2 linked regions of the Ovis aries genome follow. The protein of the gene in region 2 binds, or shares a complex with, the protein of the main gene of each other region. Links are inferred from orthologs where the notes say so. Each region holds a gene or a part of one and is shown on either strand. Other genes may lie near its edges.

Evidence for each region.
Region 1: the proteins of ROBO3 (region 2) and NELL1 are in contact, whole or in part, in a crystal structure (PDB 6POL), measured with the Homo sapiens proteins. The link is inferred for Ovis aries from reciprocal best matches to the Homo sapiens genes ROBO3 and NELL1. Residues at the interface, in NP_071765.2 of Homo sapiens: Ser553, Pro555, Val590, Glu592, Phe594, Pro596, Asn600, Thr601, Trp602, Thr604, Ile624, Leu626, Arg630, Gly633, Ala634, Trp635, Gly636, Leu637, Ser638, Glu639, Pro646, Val647, Arg648; in NP_006148.2 of Homo sapiens: Ala440, Lys441, Met442, His443, Tyr444, His446, Tyr458, Arg468, Val469, Asp470, Asp471, Phe472, Ser473, Asp478, Ile492, Cys493, Thr494, Asn495, Thr503, Cys504, Lys505, Pro506.

Annotation. Positions count from the first base shown.
Region 1 is NC_056074.1:21,836,309-21,840,697, forward strand, and holds the start of NELL1 (protein kinase C-binding protein NELL1), read right to left. Parts: upstream 2,802-4,389; 5' UTR 2,655-2,801; coding exon 2,600-2,654; intron 1-2,599. UniProt on the Homo sapiens protein: Plays a role in the control of cell growth and differentiation. Promotes osteoblast cell differentiation and terminal mineralization.
Region 2 is NC_056074.1:25,787,491-25,791,287, reverse strand, and holds part of ROBO3 (roundabout homolog 3), read right to left. Parts: coding exon 3,750-3,797; intron 2,869-3,749; coding exon 2,747-2,868; intron 2,567-2,746; coding exon 2,341-2,566; intron 2,119-2,340; coding exon 1,997-2,118; intron 1,768-1,996; coding exon 1,596-1,767; intron 1,489-1,595; coding exon 1,303-1,488; intron 1-1,302. UniProt on the Homo sapiens protein: Receptor involved in axon guidance during development. Acts as a multifunctional regulator of pathfinding that simultaneously mediates NELL2 repulsion, inhibits SLIT repulsion, and facilitates Netrin-1/NTN1 attraction.

The sequences.
Region 1 (4,389 bases), about 4.0 Mb from region 2:
GTTAACAGCCCAGACAACAATTATCCCACTTGACAAATAAACTTTCCAACTGGCTTTTTGGATCCTGATAAACTAATTAAGAGCCGGCCTTAGCTACCTCAGAGGATGGATGTGTGATGCAGGGATGATGGTTCCCAGGTAAAATCAAAGAGAAAACTGCTGATCATATCCCCCAAGTTGCAAGAAATTGTAAGTAAAAGAATTGAGATATAATTCCCCCATGTCTCTCTGATTCTTCTGATAATTTCTGTAGTAGAAATGTGTAGCCTCTTGGTACTCTTTGAACGAGTACCAAGTGCGCAGAAAACCCAAGCTCCCTAAGCAACTGCACAACTGATTGGCAGATCCTTCCATTCTTCCTTGCCTTTGGACAAGCTGTGCTCTTTGTCTAGAATGCTTTCCCCACTCTGCCCACCTGGAAAACTCCTAAAAATCCTTCAAGACACAACTTTCAAATGTTACCTTCTGATTAAAGCCTTCCCTGACCATCTACCACCCCTCCCCAGAATTCATTTCTACAATTTCTCCTCTATATCCTTAATGCAGACTTCTATAATCCCATCTCTCTTCCCTCTGCCCCATCAAACTGTACAATAAACACACTTTTCAGTATCTAGATTCTCAGCTAAGCTGTAAGTTCCTGGAAGTCAAAGACCAAGTCGGTTCCTCTTTGCATAAGCAATCCTAGCACCCAGCAAGGCGCTCAACTCTTCAGCTGAATGAATGAATGAACACAGAAATGAAACTTCCCTACAACCAAATTTTTACAAGATTTAAAGGGGCTCAATGTGGGGAAGGGGAAAAGATTTTGTTATTAAAGAAACTCCACAAGCAACGCTCCCTGGACCCACAATCCACTTCTGGCGAAGGTACTTTTGGCCGACTTTTCAAAGGAGTAATGAGAACAAAGGACGTAGGCATACTCCGTAGCGATGTGCACTTGAGAAAATTAAGTGACAGATATCTCACCCCACCCCAGCCCCACCTAGTTTCTCTCTCTTTGGTTCCCCTGTAAGATGCTCACCAGCACCAGATTCTCCACTAGCAGGGCTGGTCGCCCACACTCTGCACTGTCCCCACTGCTCTGATCTTTCCGGGGGGCAAGCTTTTTCTCGTGTGCTCTTGGCTTTAAAAGACTAACCCACCTATATAGGCCGGAACTCAAGAAGCGCTTATTCTAGGTTGGGCAGTCATGGCATCTTGGCAGGCTGGGGAGCTCTCGGGTGGAGACTGAAAACGGATGGGGATTCTTTTTATCGCTGGAGAAGTCCACACCCGCCGCGCTTTCATTAAGCAAAGGAAAAGCTGCCGCCTGCTCGGTCCTGGGGAAGATGGAAAGGGCCAGCAGGAAGCTGCTGGACGCCCAACTCTTGAATCCTCAGGCGGGCTGCTAACAGCCCAAGAGGGACGCCTGGGGAGCGAGCGGAGGGAACTTTTGAGCCCACCCAGGCCGGGCACCCATTCCCAGCCCTCTACCTATAAACTTGCTCCCTAGCGTGGGCAGGAGGCTATGCCTCTAGAGAGGAGAGACGAGAGTGATAAAAGAGGAAAAAAGCAGTGGGGATGACTACATATCAACTCTAGGGTGCGAAGTCTGCCGCACGTTAGGAGGGTGCCTAGCGTAGGAATAAAAACTCGCGACGCTCCCACCCGCAGTGGAGAGTCCTATTTTTGCCAATTCCCTCGTCCAATCCACCGCCACCTTCCCCAATCTACTACTAGCTCCCCAGAGAAGGCGGCTGAGAGTGGGTCTCCAAACCCCCAGGGGACATGCAGGCTGAGGGCTGAGAGAGGAGGTGCTCTTAACGTCCTCACAACTGCTTCCCTGGAGGCAGAACGAAGTGGAGACTTCAGAAAATTACGCCCGTTTTCCTGACCTCCCCTCCACGACACCAACACGCAGCTACAGTCTGCGAAAACTGGCTTGGAGCTTAAGAGCATCTCCCTGGGATTGCCCCCACAGCTCCAATTCCCTCGAATTTGTCTTGCCTTCTGGGGGAGAAAGGGAGTGGCAAGAAAAACTACTTCAGGAGTTCCCCGGGGGAGAGGCAGGAGGGGACGAGAAAAGGGGTCTCGGAATCCCAGCCTCGTCCGCAGCTCCCACCCCGCGCCGCGCCCGCCCGCGCCCCAGCAGCGCCCGCCCGCCGGCCGGAAGCGCTCCCTCTGCGGGTGCGCCTCCCTGCCGCCGCCCCTGCCCCGGCCAGCAGGGCGCAGAGACCGCGGACTCCCCCGCACCTGTCAAGTTCACGGGGGTGGGCTTCCCGGGCCCGCCCTACTATGTGGGTTTCTACCCGGAAGCCGGTCGCTAGCAGCTGGAGGGTGCGCCTGAATGGCCGCGCCCCTCACCCCTGTGCCCGCCAGGCCGCGTCCTCCGGGCAGGGGGCTGCTCCTCGGGGGCATCTTCCCCCGGCCTGTAAGTCCCACTTCTCAGCCTTTCACCTGGAGCAGGGCAGAGAGATTCGAGGGACCCATCCACGCCCTTCCCCGGACCGGCGCGGAGCTCTGCTCCAGGTCCTCCCCACGCCGAGGTGGGCGCTGGGCACAGCGGCTGGGCTCGCCCGTTTCCCCGCATCCCTCCGACAGCCCCAGCCGTGCTTACCTGTCCTGGCGGCGCACACACAGAAGCACACAACTAAAATCACACCCCTCGGCATCGCTCCCAAGGGTCCCGGCCAAAGCGGGCGCGTGGAAGCCAGGAAGAAACAAATGCGCCTGGATGCCGAGACGCGCCGGGCTCCGAGCCGCCAAACTTGCTGGCGGGCGGCGAGGGAGGTGGCTCTGCTGCGCCGGGCGCCGCGCTCAGGGATCGCGCCCGGGAAGGCGGCCCCGGCCGCCCCGCCCCCAGCCCGCCCCCACCGCGGGCGGCGGCACCCGGCCCGGACCCCGGCCCCCGCTGCGGCGGCGCCCGCCTCGGCGCCGGGGTGGGAACGCGGGGCTTGGCCGCTCCGGCAGGTTGCGCCTGGCGCTGGCAACGGCTCCTCCTCCGCGGCGAGGACCCGGGCGATCGGCGCAGCAGCCGCTACCACTCGGAGCGCCGGAGCTGGAGTCCCGGGACCCGGGGGCCAAAAGGGAGGAGCTGGAGGCGCAGGGCACCCCCTCCCTGAGCTTCACGCTCTCCAGCCCAGACGAGCCGGCGGAGCCGCTGCTGCTGTCTCTGCCTCGGCGCCGCGGTGGGGGCTGCCGAAGTTGCCACAGTTCATCTTGGTCGAAACGAAGAACCCCGAGTCCTTGCGGGTGGATTCCCCCCCGCCCCGCGTCCCCGCCACCGGGGGAACCCCGACCCAGACGGACTCAACTAGCGCCCTCAGCTCCTCCCTGGAGGACAGTTACTCCGGATTTGCTTAGGTGACTGGTTGGGGAGGGGGGTGTAGGGAGATGATGCCTGAGTTCCGTCTCACCACCTGTACCTCCAGTCTCCTCTCTCCGCTGGGTCCCTCTGAGTGGAGACCCGCTTTGGGGGTTCAGGGAGAGGACGCTAAGACCGGGGGAGGGGGGTGCAGAAAAAGTGTCCCTGAGCCCGAGCGAAGCACGGTGGGGAATTGGGGAGTTTTATTTGCAAGCCTTCCGGTTCTGCAGGGCAGATGCTGCCACTTAGGGGAAATTCCTAACCATTTTTTTTTTTCCTTGAGTGAGTTTCTCGATGGTTTTGTCAAAAACCCTACTACTCTCCTTTCACAGTCACGGTTTGACCTCTCCCGCAGTTATTCTGGAACCCTCTCCAACACCATTCCTGGAGAGAATGGCTGGACTTTGTTTTAGGAGTGTGGGCAAGAAGACCAATCCTCCTGCTTCTATGTGACCCCCTTGCAGAACCCAGCCTTCCCTAGAAATATCTCCCAGTTTCATGGCACTTCCTTTCAGGAACGTTATTTATAACTAGATTGCAGAGTCGTGAAATCAGACATGACAGAGCCTTTGATTTACACCAAACGAGCCCCACATGATTTAAAACTCCTTGGCTTGCTCACACTGGTCCCCTCTCTCTGAGTCCAGCCCAGCCCTCTGATATGATAGGGATCCCAAAGAAGGGAAACGTCTCTGAACAAAGCTCTCCCTCATTTTCCAGGAAACATTTACAACGTTCAAGAAAAATCCTCTTCATTAATCCCCTTCTTACTTCTTCTGTTCCTAACCCCTTCATCACCGTGACCCCAGGAGCCCCCACTGAAGGTCACCAAAGTAGCAACACAGTTTATTAAGAGAGAAGGTTTTTATCTACACACTCTGCCCTATTTTTCTGGATATTCCTGTATGCAAGCCACTGTCCCACTTGGCCCTTTACACTGTGGTCCCTTAGCAGATAAAAAAGGAAATGAACAAGCAGATAAATTCCAGCATCTAACACCTGAGGCAGAAGAAGGGAAGCAAACAAAGAAGTGTATTGCCATG
Region 2 (3,797 bases):
CAAGGGGCTGAGCTCCAGTGCAACTCTTCCCGTGACCTCCACCCCCCACCCCGCCCCCGCCAGCAGCTGAGTCCTTCCTGAAGCACAAGCTGGAATCAAGATTGCTGGGAGAAAAATCTATAACCTGAGATATGCAGGTGACACCACCGTTATGGTAGAAAGTGAAGAGGAGCTAAAGAGCCTCTTGATGAAAGTGAAAGAGGAGAGTGGAAAAAGTTGGCTTAAAGCTCAACATTCAGAAAACTAAGATCATGGCATCCGGTCCCATCACTTCATGGCAAATAGATGGGGAAACAGTGGAAACAGTGAGAGACCTTATTTTCTTGGGCTCCAAAATCACTGCAGATGGTGACTGTAGCCATGAAATAAAAAGACGCTTGCTCCTTGGAAGAAAAGCTATTATCAACCTGCTGCCACTGCTAAGTCGCTTCAGTCAGACGACTCTGTGCGACCCCATAGACGGCAGCCCACCAGGCTCCTCCATCCCTGGGATTCTCCAGGCAAGAACACTGGAGTGGGTTGCCATTTCCTTCTCCAATGCATGAAAGTGAAAAGTGAAAGTGAAGCCGCTCAGTCGTGTCCGACTCTTCGCGACCTCATGGACGGCAGCCCACCAGGCTCCTCCGTCCATGGGATTTGCCAGGCAAGGGTACTGGAGTGGGGTGCCATTGCCTTCTCCGATTACCAACCCAGACAGCATATTAAAAAGCAGAGACTTGACTTTACCAACAAAGGTCCATCTAGTCAAAACTATGGTTTTTCGGTAGTCGCGTATGGATGTGAGAGTTGGACTACAAAGAAAGCTGAGCACTGAAGAATTGATGCTTTTGAACTGTGGTGTTGGAGAAGACTCTTGAGAGCCTCTTGAAATGCAAGGAGATCAAACCAGTCAATCTTAAAGGAAATCAGTCCTGAATGTTCATTGGAAGGACTGATGCTGAAGCTGAAACTCCAATACATTGGCCACCTGATGGGGAGAACTGACTCATTAGAAAAGACCCTGATGCGGGGAAAGATTGAAGGCAGGAAGAGAAGGGGAGGTTAGAGGACGAGATGGTTGGATGGCATCACCGACTCGATGGACGTGAGCTTGAGCAAGCTCAGCGGAGTTGGTGATGGCCAGGGAAGCCTGGCGTGCTGCAGTCCATCGGGTCGCAAAAAGTCGGACACAACTGAGCGGCTGAACTCTCTCTCGATTCTCCGCGCCTCCCTTCCTGGGGGAGCGAGATCTCAAGGCTCCGCCCACCCCACCCCACCCCCGTCGAGTCTCCCAGCCGCCGGCCCCCGGGGCTGGGCTCTCACCGGTGTAGTGACTGAGCTCCTTGCGCTGCCTCCGGCGCCGGTAGAGGGCGCCGCAGAGCCCGAGGAGCAGCGCCCCGCAGGCGGCGCCGCTGCCCGCGAGGAAGGCAGGCTCCCGCAGCACCCTCGCCAGCCGCTCTGCCAGCCCCGGGCTCGCCTCGAGCCCAGGCTCCAGCTCCGGCGGGGACGCTGCGGGGGTCAGAGAGGTGAGGGGAGTAGAGGCAACTCTACCCCAGGACACCCCCCGCCCCACTCCCGAAACCCCAGCTCCTCCCCCGCACCCGCTCCGGACTCACGCAGCTGCACAGACACCGGGGCGCTGGCCACGCCCACGCCCGCGCTGGTGGCCGCCGCGACCTGGGTCCGGTAGAGGAGACCGGGCAGCAGGCCCCGCAGCACCGCCGAGCGCGCCCAGCCCGCCGCGGACCGGTTGAGATGAAAGCGGCTCTCGTTGCCCAGGCACCAGATCTGGGGAGGCCGAGACCCGGGCTTAGAGGGTCAGAAGTGGATCTCTGAATGGTGGGAATGACGCCTCGGCCAGGCGTAATTCGCTCGGAGAGAGCACTCTGAAACCTCTCTCCTCTACCCGGACCTCGTCTCTAGTCCCAAAGCCAGTCCTAGGTTCCCTCCTCCCTGATCCTAACCTTCTCCCTCCACTGCCCAGCCTGCCCACCCAGGCCCTTCTCAACCCCTGCACCTGGTATTCCTCGATGACCCCATTTTGCTGCGAGGGGAGCGGAGGTTCCCAGGACACAGTGATACTGCTGTTGCCTTCACCCCCCAAGGCCACGGCCACTCCCTGGGGGGGACCACTGGGGGCTGGGCCAGGGTGGAGCATGGTGAGAAGGACACAGACAGTCATTGCAAGCTGCCCCTCCAGCCCCAACCTTGCTCATCCTCCCAGTGCTAACCTCTTAGGGAACTGAGAGGCGTGTCTCCTCCCCCCACCCCCCGCCCTTTGCCCTCCCCAGGCAAACCTTCCTCCTCCCCTCTCTCTTTTCCCTCCTGTCCACCCATCAGCGCTGTGCCCCACTCCCTTACCCTCCTCAGGAATGTTCCTGGTCACCAAGGGGCTTTCAGCCCCCAGCTCCTCCTGGCCTTGAGCTTGCACCTTGACCTGGACTTGGGTCCCTGGGGGGAGTCCTCTTAGCACTGTGCTTTGCTGGCTTGGGTACGGTAGGTCCAGCACCGACCAGCTTCCCCCATCAGGTCCTGCAACCCTCCAAGACACCCGGAAACCTTGCACCAGCTGGACTGGGCCATCTACCTGTGGGAGGCAGGACAGAGGATGCCAGAGGAGGGGCTGGAGCCAACAAGTCCTCCTGTCGCAGCCCCTTCTTCACCCAGCAGTCTTCCCCAGCCACGCACCTTGCACACTCCCGTACGCATTCCCCTGTGTCCCCCATCATCATGCCTGCCCTTACGCTCATCCCTGGGCCACACTCACGGTCCAGGACACCTGCAGAGTCCGAGGCCCAAGGACTACAGGCTCCTCCAGACGCACAGCCACTTCGGCCAGTCCCTGCTGGCCTCTCCATGGGTCCTCCACTGGCCTGGATGGGCTGCTGTCTGCTGGCCAAACAGTCCACTCAGCAAGGGCCTCTGGGACGGGGAGCCAGGACTGAGGGCATGTGTATGTCCCCTGCCCTGCCCCGCAGACCACTACTTAGTACTTTGGAGCCCATCCCAGAGTCAGGAGATGGCTGGTCAAGGGAAGAGCTTCCAGAGGTGGGCCAGGGTAGCCTGCTTTCTGCATATATTTGTTGTTGTTCAGTTGCTAACTTGTGTCCAACTCTGTGACCCCACGGACTGCAGCAGGCCAGGCTTCCTTGTCCTTCTCTATCTCCCAGAGTTAGTGCTCAGATTCGTGTCCATTGTGTTGGTGATGCTATCTAACCATCTTATCCTCTGCCACCCTCTTCTTCTTTTGCCTTCAATTTTTCCCAGCATCAGGGTCTTTTCTAATGAGTTGGCTCTTTGCAGATTTATATATATATATATATATTTTTTTTTTTTTTCTTTGCCTGAATGCATAGCATGCAGAATCCTGGTCCACTGAACAGGGGTTGAACCTGTGCCCCGTGCAGTGGAAGGAAGCACGAAGTCCTAACCACTGGACTGCCTGGGGATTCCCTTGCACCTTTCAAGGCCTTGTTCCTCATCTCTCACATGAAGACGTCCCTCCAAGTTTCCTTCTAGTCTTGTTATCTATAAGTAAAGGCTCGGAAGGGAGGAGCTACCAAGATGACTGAATCAGTCTCTCTCTCTCTCTCTGTTTCTCTCTTGCCTCTTCTCTTGTTCCCTCAGTGAAAGGGAAGCATGACTCCCTCTTCCAGGCCCGGCCACCAGTACAGAAACTGGAAGCAGATAGGTGCCATAACTTGCAGGCAGGGGGTGCTCTGCGGGGTTGCATGCCATACCTGTGATCCAGAGATCCAGGCCTTACTCACCCTGGGTGCGAACGGGCTCAGAGACAGGGCTGGGCTCACTGAGGCCCC